2 linked regions of the Notamacropus eugenii genome follow. The protein of the gene in region 1 interacts with the protein of each later gene in a pairwise test. Links are inferred from orthologs where the notes say so. Each region holds a gene or a part of one and is shown in the gene's direction. Other genes may lie near its edges.

Region 1 (7,671 bases):
AATGGTGAGCAGGCAAATTTCAGAAAGACCTGGACTTGCATGAAGGAATGTTGAGTAAAGTGAGCAGAACCAGGAGAACATTATATACGGTAACAGCAACATTGTGCAGTGACTGATTTTGTTAGACTTTGCTCTTTGGAGTAATGTCATGATCTAAGACAATTCCAAAAGATTGATGATGGAAAATGCTATCCACATCCAGAGAAAGAACTGAGCCTGAATGCAGATTGAAGCATACCATTTCCTCTTTTTTTTCTCTTTTTCATGGTTTTCACTTTTTTTGATTCTTCTTTTAAAACATGGGTACTGTGGAAATATGTTTAATATGATTATACATGTATAGCCTATATCAGATTGCATGCTGTCTTGGGAGGGTGTCAGGCCTAGAGGCCTAAGGGCTACCTGAGTCTTTCCTTACCTGTCGCAGGTCTTTGGCTAGCCAAACCAGATAAACGTATGAGAGAAGAGACTTTCCAGAGTCGAACAAGGGTTAGGCTTTATTCAGGGTCTTGGTTACATGTGCAGGGGGAATTCTTCCTCAGGAGAGAGGAGTCCTCCTCCCAAGGAGGCAAAGATCTTACAGTAAGAGATTGGGAGCGGGAGAGGGGAGGGACCCTCTGCCCTCTAAGGGCCCCTCAGTGCTAAGAGCGCCTTCAGGCTTTCCTGACTCTACTTAAGCTCTCCTGCTGCATAGTTTGCACCTGAATACCGTGCCTGTTCTCAGCCCTTAGCTAGACAACAATAGGTGTGCTCAGACCATGGATTAATCTCGAGGGCAGGATGCTGTCCCCAGCAAGTTTCCCATGGGGAAGAGGCGGAAATGCACGAGATAGCCTGGGTCTCACACCTCAATTCCCAGCTGTTCCCTGGGGGGCCTCATGAGAACTCTAAGGTTTAGAAGTCCTCACTTTTACCTGCCCGAGACTGTCCACATGGAACTGAGCTTGCACCTCCAACAGGAGGGGAATTTAAAACTCAAAATTTTATAAAATTGAATGTTGAAAACTCAAACTAAATAAATGAATAAATTGAAAAAAAGAACTTTGGAATTGATTGTGTGATGTGGGAGACAGTGACATAAGAGAAGGTGCTGTGCTATATGTGCTCTATGAGCATGGTATGGTTGTTGTCCTTCATTCTCAAAGAGGACCAAAATGACATCACTATGCTAGAGTCAAGTTTTAATGTGTGCATCTGTGGGTGATCAGACCAATGCAAGTTTGGAATGTTGTACCACAAGTCAAGCACAACTAGTCCGCATGTGCATTTCGGGTGGGTACTACAAATTTGCACCTCCTGCATTTCCTTTGAGCTGTCTCAATTCTGCTTTGCACATTCTTGAATGTGGACATGCAGTGCTGAGCTTGTCATCCCACGTTACACAATCAATTCCAAAGTTCTTAAGGGAGACCTTGAGAGTGTTCCTGTATTGCTTCTGACCACATGTGAACACTTGCCCCATGTGAGTTCTCCATAAAATAGTCTTTTTGGCAAGCTTATATTTTGCATTTGAACAACACAGTCAGCCCATCAGAGTTGTGCTCTCTGAAGCAGAGTTTGAATGCTTGGCAGTTTAGTTTGGGTAAGGACCTCAGTGTCTGGTACCGTCATCCTGCCAGGTGATCTATGAAACCTTCCTAAGACAATTCATATGGAAGTGATTCAGTTTCCTGGCATGGCACCAATATATTGTCCAGGTTTCACAGGCATACAACAATGAAGTCAGCACAACAACTCTATAAACCTTCAGTTTGATAGTCTAATACCTCTTCTCTCTCATATTTTCCTTTGGATCTTCCCAAACACTGAGCTAGCTCTGGCAATGCATGCATCAACCTCATTTGTACCCTACCTGGTGGTAGAACATTCTGAGCTCATATTGATCTGATCAGCTACATTCAGATGCACTATAATGACTCATTTTTGATCCTGTTCCAGAACAAAGGACAACCACCAAGCTATCCTCCATTCCGGTTGAGTGTTTGCACAGATAAGTATCTTAGAATTTAAAAAATTTCTCATTAGCCATATCTGTTTTTATAGTTCCTTCTTTCACAGAACTGATAAGATTTTATGACTTTGTCAAGGTTGAAAACTCAAAGGACCTGACAAGTCCCCAAATAATTTCAAAGATAATGCGAATTTTTCAAGGCCTTTTGTACTTTTCTCAAGCACTAAATGAACATCATTGTTGATTTTCAAGAAAAATATAGCCAATTAAATATTCAAGACAGTTTTTTCAGTATAAGAACAAAGGACAAAAATTCCCAATAAGTGATTATCCAAATTCATCACTTTATTGCATTCACATAAAAGTGAGAGTAATACAAATTCATCACATTCTAGTTATCATTTCTCCAATAAATAGTATTTCTTATATTCTGGCAAGATCATGATGTAAAAATTTTAAGAGCATAACAAAAAATATAAAACAATATTATGGATTTAAAACATGAAGCAAAACTTATTGCCAGTCAAAGGACATCATTCAGGGAAATGCACTTCTAATTTGTCTTACATGGAAAAATAATTTCATTTATCCATCAATTTTGGTATTCTATTCTAGTAACTTAGAAACCAGTGAAGAGGACTTAAGATCAGCTTGCTCTTAGTGCTTATTGCTTAAGGCAAGTTTAGAAACTGCAGACTGCAAAACTGTTGACATTTTGTTCCTCCCCTTTTGGAATTACTGGAAATAAAACTTTTAAAATGGCTTCCATTCCGTTTAAGGCTTTCTGAGAATTCTCTAGTCAGAGAAATTATCTTCCTTTTCTACCCTAAAACAATAAATCTGTAACTCTTCAGGGAAGGGACAGAAAGATAAAGGAGTCTGAAAGCTACTTTCATGAAAATTTCACAAACTTTCTATTTTAAAAAAAATCCTAGAGAGCTGCAACCTCAAAAACCATTAGGATATTTTAGCACTTATAAAAACTACATTTTCATCATAATTTGGACTTGCAGATTACATTTTATTCTCAAATATAGTTTCTGGTTAGGTTAAAATGTCATAGATTTCTGCAAATAAAAAAGAATATCTGTTTCTCTCTCTATCTCTGTTTCTCTTTGTCTGTATCTTCTCCCTCTCTCTCTCTGTTTTCAACCTAGGAACACAGAAATGAGACTATGTATTTTTTTGGAAAACAGACATTTTCAGCATAACTCTCATTCACTTCCTTATCTTCTAGTGAATTTTTTTGGGGGGAATATACTGGTTGTTTGGAGTGGACTGGAAATTTCTTTTTCCAGTACCTGAGTTCGTGGCAGTAATTAGACAAGGGTGAGGTCAAATTTTTGTTCTCTTTAAATTCTGCAAAATAACATTCTTGGTCAGCTATCAGTTGCATCTGGTAAGTTGTCCTGCCTCTGGGATTCCACTCTTATTTCTTGTTCTCTCTTCTCATCTTACTCATTGAAGAATAAAAGTTATCAGTGAGAGAATTTCATAGAGAATTTTTTTGGTTTTATTTTGGCAAGGTTGTAAAGTGTGATGTTATTGTCCCTTAAAGGAATAAGATACTGCCTATGGGCTTCCTGTATGTCCAAAAAGAGATCCTCTTGGTGCATTTCAGAAGCTGCTAAACTAATAAACTGATAGTTCATTTGTTTCAGAAACTGAACTTCTATTTTAACTTGTAGAATTTGTAAAACTTATTAGGTAACCAAGGCCATTCATTTAAGTTTACGATGGCCATTTAGATTGACAGAGCTTAACCAGATCAGATTCTCCCTAGATTTTTTTCAAATCAGTCAAAATCTGTTCTGCACCAGAAATACTGGGTCCCATCGTGAAGACTGACTGTTCAAGGTGGAATTGAGGTTCAGACTTTGATATGGTTGCACCTCACTTTCCTCATCTGTAAAGTGGAACTAAATAATTGATATTCCCAACCCCATTGGGAGTTATGCAAATGTTAATATGATTTAGAATTAAACTATTATTATTACTATCAAAATGTACACTTCTGAGAGACAGAGAGACAGAGAGAGAGAGAGGAGAGAGAGAAGGGAGAGAGGAGAGAGAGAGAGAGAGAGAGAGAGAGAGAGAGAGAGAGAGAGAGAGAGAGAGAGAGAGAGGAGAGAGAGAGAGAGAGAGAGAGAGAGAGAGAGAGAGAGAGAGAGAGAGAGAGAGAGAGAGAGAGAGAGAGAGAGAGAGAGAGAGAGAGAGAGGAGAGAGACAGAGAGAGAGAGAGACAGAGAGAGAGAGAGACAGAGGAGAGGGAGAGAGAGACTTATGAATTGTTAAGACCCTGAAAGACAGGTTTTGACTGGAAAAGAGGCAAAGGTCTGGGGGTCCCAGCAAAGAGGGAGACAGTGAGAAAGGAAGGATTCCCAGCCGAGAGGGTCCCTGTGACTCTGAGGGAGCCTGCCAGGGTTCCAAGCAGAGAGAGCCCAGCGCCCCCTCCCCCAACACTGTCTCAGGCTCGGTGGGCGGGACCCTAAGGTGGGAGAACAAAGAGATGCAGCCAGTCCGCCTCGAGATTCCTAGAGAGGACCAGAGCAGCAGACACGACCTAGATGGCATGCGCACTTCTGGGCGCCCGGCGAATCCTGGAAAGCCTGGTCGGTCCTGAGCGCCCACGCGTTTTCTGGGGCGCGTACCCTCGCAGGCTTCGTGGTGAGTGCCGCCGAGGGGGATGGGGGCGCGGGATCGGCCCGGAGGGGTGTGCGGGTGAAACGCCTCTTCCTCCCCCGCTTCTTCACTCTCCTCTTCCCCTCCCCCCTCCCCCCTCCCCTCCCCCTCCCTCTCTCCCCCTCCTCTTTCCCTCCCCTCCCCCTCTCCCCCTCCTCTTCCCCTCCCCTCCCCCTTTCCTCCTCCTCTTCCCCTCCCCCCTCCCCCTTCCCCTCTCCCCTCCCCCTCCCTCTCTCCCCCTCCTCTTCCCCTCCCCTCCCCCTCTCCCCCTCCTCTTTCCCTCCCCTCCCCCTTTCCTCCTCCTCTTCTCCTCCCCCCCTCCCCTCCCCCTCTCCTTCCCCCCTTCCCCTCCCCTCTCCCCCTCCCTCTCCCCGCCTTCCCTCCGCCCCCCTCCTCCCGCCTCCCTGACTGCTGGAAGCACTTAGAGAAGGAGGAGAAAGGCCTCGGTACGCCGGGTCTGGGGATGGCGTCGGTGTCTGGGGCTCATTAGAGGCTCCGGCCGCGCCTCCCTCCCGCCGCGGAGGACGCCGGGCCCTGCTCGGGGCCTGCTCCCCGCATTTGCGCCGCGGTCCTTGCGGCAGCTCGGGGGATTTGTGGGTAAACCAAGGCCCCCGGCCGTCCCCCGGGGAGGAGCTGCCCTGGGATCCGCTCTCCCGAGCTCTGGCGGTAAGAAGGCGGTTCCCCGGTTTCTGCGTTTTCCGAGCCCCAGAGCCATTTTGACTTGAGAATGACCGGCTAGTGTTTATGATAACCACCGCCGCCTTCCGTAGGAGGAGGGGCAGGCCCCCCGGCCTCGCCGCGGCCCCGGCCCCCCGGCCCCCCGGCCCCGCCGCGGCCCCGGCCCCCCGGCCCCGCCGCTCTGCTCCGCTCCTAGAAACGGGAGGAGGAGGTGGGTGGTTCTGTTGTGCGTCCCGGCCCCAGAGGCGGGAGGAGCTGGATCCGAATCGGGCCTCAGGTGCTAGCGTGCGTTAAGAACGCTTGGAGAAGGGTTCCCCTGGAAGGCGGAATTTATTGACTTTGAAGAGTCAGGAGAACGGAGGAGGGAGAGAGTTGGCGGCGCGCCTCGGAGGCCAGGGGCCGGTGGCGAAGACTGCCTAGGTAGGAGGAGGCCGGGTCACGGAAGGCTTTCTTTGCCGAACGGATCGTTTGCTCCTGCAAACAATAGGAAGCCGCCGGAGGGGGTCCGCCGCGGGAAAGAGGGGGAGCCGGATGGAGGGTGGATGGAGGGGAGGCAGGCTGGAGGTCACCCGCCCATCCGCAGGCTGTTGCGATGGTCCAGGTGAGGGGCAGGGATGAGGGCCTGCACTGGTGAGTAGTTCAGAGAGGAAGGGACGTATTTGAGAGGTTGCAGGCCTCGGAGTGGCAGGCCTTGGCAACAGCTTGGCTATGGGGGGTGAGAGATAGGGAGGAATCCAGGAGGCCTGGGAGGATGGTGTTGCCCTCTCCTGTAACAGGGAAGGTGGGAGGTGGGAGGTGGGAGGGTTTGGGGGAAAGATCCTGAGTTCGGTTTTGACAAGATTGAATTTAAGATGTCTACTGGCATCTGAAAGGCAGCTGGAGATGCCACTTTGGAGGGCAGCGGAGAAGTTGGGGTAAGTTCTGATTTAAGAATCAGAAGCATAGAGATAATAATGAAAACCACGCGAGGCGACGGATCACCAAGTGAAGCAGAATAGAGGGAGAAGAGGAGGGGGCCCAGGACGGAAACGCTAACCTACAGTTAGATGGTATAATCTGGAAAGGATCCAGTAAAGGAGACAGAGGAACAGACAGGTAAGACAAAAAGCAAGAAAGAGTGGGTATTTTAAAAAACCTGAGGGAAGAAGATACCAAGGAGAGAGTATTCAACAGTGTCAAAGGTTGCAGAGATTTAGAAAAATGAGGATTGAGAAAAGGCCATTGAATTTGGCAACTGAGAGATCATAAGTAACTTTGGAGAAAGCACTTTCAGGTGGAATGATAAGGTCAGAATCCAGATTTTAAGGGGTTAAGAGGCCTATTGTAGAGAGCCTTTGGAAGGAGTTTTAACCACAAAGGACAGAAGAGATAAGGGACAATACTTGGTGAGAATGGGGGGATTGAGAGATTTTTCAAGAAAAGGTTGATGTGGACAAGTTTATAAAGCAGTTGGAAATGAGGCAGTAGGCAAGGAGAGATTGAAATTAAGTGAAAGAGTGGAGGTGACAGACAGGGCAGACTTGGAAAAGGTGGTTTTGCTTAGAGGATAAGGAGTAAGGCCCCTTTATCATGTGAAATGGGGTGATGGAGAAGAAAGTGGCAGAAGATATCTGAGTCATTGGAGGTCCAGAACAGTGTAGAAGTAGTTAATGCCCAGTGGCCTCAATTTTTTTTTTTGTGTAAAATATGAGTGAAAGTTCTCAGCTGAGAGAATTGGGAAGTCATGGGAGGTTTCAGAAGGGATGAAAAGATTTGGAAGAGCAACTATGAAAACAAAGTTAGTGACTTGGTGAGGGGGGGAGGTATAGTAAGATTGCCTACCAGCTACCAGAATAATTTTCTCAAAGCAAGATTTGGTTGTGTAATTCTCCCACTTATTCATTGTTTCTGGAATAAAATACAGACTCTTCAGTCTGGTATGTAAGGAAGTGCACATTGTAGGTCTTCTTTGTCTTTCCAGCCATATTTTCTAATCACTCCCCTTTTTGAATTCAATATTGCAGCCAGACTGGATGACTAGCTATTTTGAAAAGTTAGCAGCGTACTTCTGTTGCTATGTGCTTGCACGAGTAGTGTCAGTGCCCAGAGTAAGAAAGAATTCTTCCTCATCTCCATCAAGTAGAATAGTTTTCTTTTCATTGAGATTTAAATTTTTTGTTTCCCCATTTGGTAGTACTTTTTTTTCCTCCTCAAATTTTACTTGTGTATATGATATATTCTCTCTTAGCTCCACACCCCTCCGTAGAATATGAGCTTCTTGAGTCCAGTATTGTTTTAGTTTTGTATCCTTAGTGTTTCCTACAGTGTTTAAGCACATTTGAGATAGGTGGGGAAGAAACTTGTTTCTTCAGTGTGGGGAA
Region 2 (7,478 bases), on another chromosome or scaffold:
TAAATAAATATAAGGTAATTTCAGGAAATACTAGTGGCTGGAGGCAGGGAGGGCAGGTTAAGGAAAAGGCTTCACTGTGCAATGTGGTGTTTGAGCTGAGCTTTGAAGGAAACCAGGGATCTTAAAAAGTAAAAGTGAAGGAGTGCATCGGGGACCTACAGCCAGTGCAAAAGTCCAGAGATGAGAGATGGTATGTCAAGTATGGGGAACAGCCAGAAGGCCAATTTGTTTGGACCCTGGAATTCAAGAAGACAAGTAATAAAAGAAAATATAAGTTAAAAAAAGTAAGTAAAAAAAGACAAATAAAAGAAAAAGCCAGATTAGAGTCAAACAGGAATATTCGTGTGAACTAATGCAGAACAAAGTAGGCAAGAGATCAAAATATACAACAGTAATTTTTGATCTACATCTGTGATTTCCTTGGCACAGTGACCATCTTGTCTTTCTCCACTATTATAGTAACTCTTCTGTAACATACAGTCTTAGAGAACTATCTCGAGCATTGAAGTTAAGTGACAGGTTAAGTCACTACTTAATGACAGAGCAAGGAGGTGCTTGTAAATGTTTCTGAAAATTCATGAGACACTTTTGATTTTAATCTGCATTATTAACATTTTCTCCATCACTTCCATAAGTCTAGATATTCAACAAAATAAAGCAAGCCTTAATTTGTAGCATTATCTGAGTTCAAGCTGGTTACAGTACACCCCTGCTCCTTAGATCCACTAAGCTAGACAGAAACTCCAATATGCCTATAGATCTCCTATCAGCATTGTGAATATTCCCTTCAGCAATGGAGACTGTAACCAACCAAGTTTGTGTCCATATGCTCTTGTAAACACCCAATGTGCCAAGGGTCTTCCTCATGTACTCTTGACATTGAACAGAGATATATATTCATAAATCATATATACATATATGTATATAAATATAATCTGCAAGTGCTTTTTTCCCTTTTGGTGAAAATAAAGGGAACAGGGGTGGGAAGAGAGGAGTTGAGGAAGTGGGGAACCACAGATAGTACTACTAAGAATCTCCCCTAGGGCAGTGAGGGCTCACCAGAAGAGAAAGAAGGGATGACTGTTTATGCGAGAGTCTTTCATGTTTTGCAATTTCTGCTGAGTGAAAAGAAACCTATCTATTTCTTAATATGGGGTGTGTGAACTTTTATTTTTATTATTTTATTTCAATATAATTGATTTTCTTTATACTCCTAGGTGTTTTATTTTATACATTTGTATACATTTTTCTGAGAAAAGGTCCATAGGTTTCACCAGATTGATTTGGACATCAGAAGGCTCCTCCTTGATCCTCCATTTAAGGAGACGGCCCATGGCAGTCACTTGGGCTGCTCCCAAAGATTTTATCATGATCTCCATGCAAGATCACAGCAATTCTGAAACTCTCACCTTCTCGGTACCACCAGCCCCTAGCCCACCCTCTTTCAGATTGGAAGGGGCAGAGGGTGGACACCTTAGATATGGGAAACGAAGGAAAAAGTTCTGTTTCCACAGGATCAAAACTCTCAATGATGGTCGTTAATTGGAGTTGTGACCTAGCATGGTCAGAATGAAGGTCAGGGCCTTGTGGGTAGGCTTGGCAAACTATTTAGGGGAAAGTCTATCAGAGAGGAGAACATGAAGTCATTGTAAGCAGTCACCTAAAAATCCAACTGCACTTGTTAATGATGCACAGTGGGCGTGTCAAAAAATTGTGACCAGAAAGAATATGGACCAATCCATTCTCTGATGGGAGGATCTGTCCTATACTAACTTTATAAAAATGCCCTTACTTCCATATCTCTCCCTCTCTCCCTTTTTGAGGAAGGGTAGAGTTTACCTTGGCCAATGAGTTCAATTCTCTGAACTCTACTTAAAGAAATTTTCCTTGATACTCTGTGTGTCACATGTGTTTCTAACAATTAGAGCTCTTCCCTGATCCTCCATTTAAGGAGGGCACTGTGGGCAACCAGCTCATCATTTCCTACTCATTTCCTATACAAGACTTCATCATATTGACTTCAACATGGCACTAGAACCCTTCCTTTCCTTTTCCCTCAATCCCTGGTTCTTTTCAGCTTCTTTTTATAAATGTTCCCTCATTAGATTGTGAGCTCTTTGAGAGCAAGGAATGTCTTTTACCTTTCTTTGTATTTCCAGTACTTAGCACAGTGCCTCTAGATGCTTAATAAATGTTCATTGACTGAAGTATCAAGAAAGGTTAACAACCCCTGTTCAATTGGGTGTGGAAGATCTTATAACTTTTTTTTGTAAAGACCAAGACATGTGTTATATATACTGATAATACCTAGAGAAATCATGGGTGGAACATGAGCCAGTAATTAAAACCAGGCTGTGGAAACCCAGAACTGTGGTTGTGGACCACAGGTTATTTGGGGATATTTGGGAGTCACCTGCATAGAAGTGATCTTTGAAACTACAGAAACAGATGCAGATGAGATCACTCCAGGGATAATTAGGTAAGAGATGAAGATTGGACAAGGATTTAGGAGGTGTGAGGAACCAGAAGATCCCAGCTAGAAAAGTAGAGGAAACTAAAAAGGTACAGTTGGACAGATAGGAAGAAAACCAGGAGAGAGCAATGAAAAGCCAAAGAAGAAAGGAATATAAGAGCGGACAAATGTCAAAAGCTGCAAAAAAACAAAGTCAAGAAATTTGAAGACTGATTTGAAAAAATTTGCTCTTTGTGAACATCAATTTAGCAACTAAGAAGCCATTAGTGACCTTTGAAAAAACAGCTTCCACAGAGTTATGAGAAAAGAAAATAGAATGCAAGGGAGTAAAGAATGACTAAGTGGTGGTGACTAACAATTTCCCAAAGTTTAACCTTCTAACCCAGTTAATTCACTCAATTTTCAGACCGCTCAGGGCAATGAGAGCTGCCTGCATTGGTGGTGCATGAATCCATTTTTGTCTTAGCATTTTCTAGCAATACCAAGTTCCTAGACCCCTATTCACTAGGGCTCACCCAGAACAGGAATCTTACCATCTGTTCTTCCACATAATCGTATCATGCCTCCCCTCTCCCCACACACTTTTCACCTCTTGTCTACCAAACAATAATTAGCTCAGTACTACATTTTCTATTGGAAAGAACAGGAACAATAGACTGCCCTGTGTTTGCAATCAACAGTTCCTGTGACTGCCTTATCCAAAACTTCCTTCCCAGACCACCATTCCCTAATATTGTATCATACCCCCTTGAAGGCAGGGACTGTCTTTTAGATTTGTATTCTCAAGTGCCTAGATGCCTGTCACAAAGAACAAATAAATGCTTGTTGATTGTTATAGAATGAAGAGGATATTTTTGTCAAGGAAATATTTTTTTAAGGAGAAGCAGGGGTTGAAGATGTTTGCAAAGGAGCCAAAAAGAGAAAGACTGAAAATGAAAAATTGGGAGATGTAATGGTTGAATGGCAAGAGCAAAGTGAATAAATGGGAAGATCCCCATATTGGGAGACTGAGGACCTTTTTTGACTCTGTTACTATTTTGGTGGCCTTAGACAAGTCATTTTCCCTCTTTACGTGTATTTTATTTATAAAATAAATATGCTGGTCCCTCTCAGCTCTAGAGCCTATAGAATTCTAAATGTTTGTTCAGATCATTAAAACTCCTCATTTCAACACGGATACACACAATAGGCTCTTCAAAAAAAAACCTTTTGTGCTATTTTTTAAAATCACCATAATTTCCCCCTTCCCTCCCAGAGAGCCATCCCATATAGCAAATATTTTTAAAGACAAAAAAAAAATTCAATATAACTGATCAAAACATTGAAAAAAATTGAAACTATGTATACTTTGTAAGGGTGGACCTCCTACCTCTTCTCATAGCTCTTCTGTGGAGTTATGCTCGTTTTTGGCCATTTCGTCACATTCACTTGTGATCATATGTTTGTAATTCTGTTTCCTTAGCTTTGCTTACTTCACTTTGCATCCCTTTTGTGCATACCTTTCCCTATTTCTCTGTATTCATCCTATTTCTAATTTCTTAGAGGAGAGTAATGATATTCCATTATATTCATGCACCTCAATTCACTTTGCCATTCCCCAATCAATAACCATCTACTTTGTTTCCAGTTCCTTGCTGTCACAAATAGGCTATCACAAAGGCTGCTATTATTCTTAGTATTTGGGTCATTTCTTCTTATAAACAGCCTTCTTGAAAGTATATCGATAGATAGATAGATAGATAGATAGATAGATAGATAGATAGATAGATAGATAGATAGATAGATAGATAGATGTGTGTGTGCACATATATACATATACACATATACTATATATATCTACCTATGTATATGTATGTATGTATGTATGTATGTATGTATGTGTATATCTATCTATCTATCTATCTATATCTCTCTATCGAGCAGTGGAATCTCAGGGCCAGATATTACAATCACAATTCCAAACTGCCTTCCTAAAAGGTTGCACCGATTCCCAGCTCCAACAGTGCACGCACGTGTCTGCCTTCCCACAACCCCTCCAACATTCGCCGTTCCCAGAGGTGCGCTGTTTGCGGAATTGAACTTCCCACGCCCGGTTCCGCGCCTAGAGCGTCCCTCCGCCACTAGGGGGCGATGTGCTATTGGGGGGGGTTGATTGAGCGTTAGACCATAGAGAAGCTGCTTCCGCTTCCGGAGTTTTACGCTTCCTTCACGATTCCGTTTAACGCTTCGCAGACCCGTTGTTTAAATAGCCTGTCTCTGTGGCTGCCGGATCCCGACGTGAGGAGGTAAAGCGCCCTCGGGCCACCGTCCCAACCGTCATCTTGACCTCATTCTTGCGACGAAAGCCTAGCTCGTCACAGAACTGCCCAGGCCTCCTTTTTGACTAGCGCTGACTCAGACACAGGCGCAAAGCGATTCCTCTTTTCTCTTTAGGTTGGCCGGAGTCCACGCTTTGGCGCAGGCGCAGAGAGACCCCAAGTCGCGAGACAAAGGGTGACGCCGGGAGCCGTCGAGATGGCGGCGGAGCAGGGGAGTACGGGCCGGTCGATCCCAGCGACCCCGGAGAAAGAAGGAGCTTCGCCCCTGAAACTGGAGGAGTCTGACGCTGGCCCGGAGGCCTCGCTCCCTGGCCCTGCGCCCCCTTCCGCTTCGCCCCCGTCCCCGGTCCAGCTCCCCGCCGCCCTCGAGGCCTCTCCCCCAGCCCACGGACCCCCGGGGGCCCGGCCGGGCCCGGAGACGTTCCGCCAGCGCTTCCGGCAGTTCCGCTACCACGAGGCGGCGGGGCCGCGCGAGGCGTTCCGCCAGCTCCGCGAACTGTCCCGCCAGTGGCTGCGGCCCGAGGTCCGAACCAAGGAGCAGATCGTGGAGATGCTGGTGCAGGAGCAGCTCATGGCCATCCTGCCCGAGGAGATCCGGGCCCGCCGGCGAGGCCGCCGCGGAGACGTGCGCATCACCGGCTGACCGAGAGAGCCCGAGGCCCCGCCGGCTGGCGAGCGAGGAGCGGCCTCCGCCCTCCGGCCGCGCAGAGAGGCGGCGGCGGCGATGCTGACGCCGGGGCCGCAGCGGGCCGCACCGTAGCGAGCTTGAAGCTTCTCCCCTCGTCCGGGGGCCGCCGAGCTCCCGTTGTCTTGTCTGTCCGCACCCGCCTCCGCGTTAATGAAGCCTGATTTTTGGCAGTCGTGGCCTGTTGTGACTCTTTCCTTCGCCTCTTGGTTTTCTGCCTGGCAGCCTCCATCGCCACTCTCCATGTGGCTACCTGGGGGGAGGGCGCCTAAGGTGGAGACTGCCCAGTGCTCTGTCCTACAGTGGTCCCAGTGTCTTGTGAAAGTAGCCATCTATTCCTTCTGCTGGAGCACCTCATGTAAAGAGACCTGATCGATGTCCTATGTCTGGTAGTTATTTTTTTCGTGAAAGGTCGGAGGACCTGCAAGGGACCATACAGATTCTATCTAGCTCCCTTATTTCATAGTAGAGGCTTGTTGTTAAATTGTTGTGGAGGAATGAAAAGATCATTGGCAGTTCCTTTCATGTTATTTTGGGGTAGTGCCTTTTACATGCGTTCTATCTTTTTAAGTAACCAGGCTCAGGGAGATCAAGAGTTGGCCTAGGGTACACAATTGATACTAGAATCGGGGGCTTTTTGTGCACTGTTTGAGGATGCCTTTGTACCCTCTGTATGGTAATATCCAAATCCGTTAAGTGTTTAGCAAGAGATTATTGCAGAAATGAGGTTGACCTACAGTTGAGGTTTAATAGCACCGGGTTTGGTACCACCCACTGAGCCCAATGTAATGCATTTTTTCCTTTTCATTACAACTCCATATTAAGTGTCAAACCACCTGTTTTTAGTTTAGTCTTTCACTCTGCCATCTACAATATGGAGAAAGATGCATCTCTTTCTTGCCCTTGGCCAGTGTCCCCTGGAGTGGAATTCTTAGGAATCTGTGGTCCAGTGCTGATGGACCCCCACCCCGGGACTGGAAGATTTAGTGAACTGTTTGTGACATTCGGTGACTTAAGATCAGCAGTGGGCCCTCTTGGGACTGTTGTGCCTAGCTGGTGCCTTTCTTTCTAGTTATTCAGGAGTGTGTCTGAAACATTCACATGGAATTAATTTACAGCTAATAGCAACTTTTTGTGTTTTAGTTTTAGGAAACATGCTAAAACATTTGACTTATGTCAGAGCTGAAATTATCTGGAGCTGGAGAATGTAAGCATAGCCAGTTTGGTGCTTCGGCAAGACATTGTATTTCCTCACTTCACTGCAAGCATCAGGTGCTCCTGGCATTTTTACCCTCTTAAAAAAGCATTAAATTATTCATCAGAAAAGGATTCTTGTGTTCCTTTGTGAGTCAAACTGATTTCCTGCACTCATAAGTTGTAAGGTAAAACTTTGTCTTCACTGCGACCCATCTTCTACTCAAGGTATCACGTTTTTGGAGGATCCATGATTTCATTGGTATGATTTTTATGTGATCATTAGGATTCCATATGCAAAACCTTGTTTTATAGAAAATGTCAGTGGTTACACAGTGTTTTATTAAGGGACTTAAGTGGTAGGAGAGTAAACAAAATAAGCACTAATGCATAAAACAACAAAAACCTATTTATTTTTTCCAAACACAGATAAAGAGGTTTGCATGTTTTGTAAATATTGCTCCAAAGCAAAACTTCTATATACAGTGCCCTCCATTCTAATAGTGCGTAAACAAACAGTTACATCTCCACAGTGCAATGTTGGCTCATCTCATCAAGGTTCTACCTTGCATTCACCCACCAATTTAAAGAAACAAAATTTAGTCAAACCAGAACTGATTCTGCCAAGACAATTTTAGTAGGATAGCTTTCATCCAAATAGACAAAATTCAAATTTAGGTAACATACAATAACTAAACATTTCTTAAAGGTAACAGCAGTAATTGTTTCCAGTGCTCCAACTTTAGATTAACTAAGCTTGGTCCAGCATTCAGAGATGGAGGCTCTTATCCCTGTACCATCCTCTGTA

The links.
Region 2: the proteins of PGBD1 (region 1) and SCAND1 interact in binary tests that used the Homo sapiens proteins (3 or more experiments, as listed by UniProt). The two-hybrid records come from large-scale screens. The link is inferred for Notamacropus eugenii from reciprocal best matches to the Homo sapiens genes PGBD1 and SCAND1.

The regions. Positions count from the first base shown.
Region 1 is NC_092873.1:73,250,752-73,258,422, forward strand, and holds the start of PGBD1 (piggyBac transposable element-derived protein 1), read left to right. Parts: upstream 1-4,491; 5' UTR 4,492-4,618; intron 4,619-7,671.
Region 2 is NC_092872.1:419,853,545-419,861,022, reverse strand, and holds SCAND1 (SCAN domain-containing protein 1), read left to right. Parts: upstream 1-4,639; 5' UTR 4,640-4,758; intron 4,759-4,906; 5' UTR 4,907-4,987; coding exon 4,988-5,434; 3' UTR 5,435-6,802; downstream 6,803-7,478. UniProt on the Homo sapiens protein: May regulate transcriptional activity.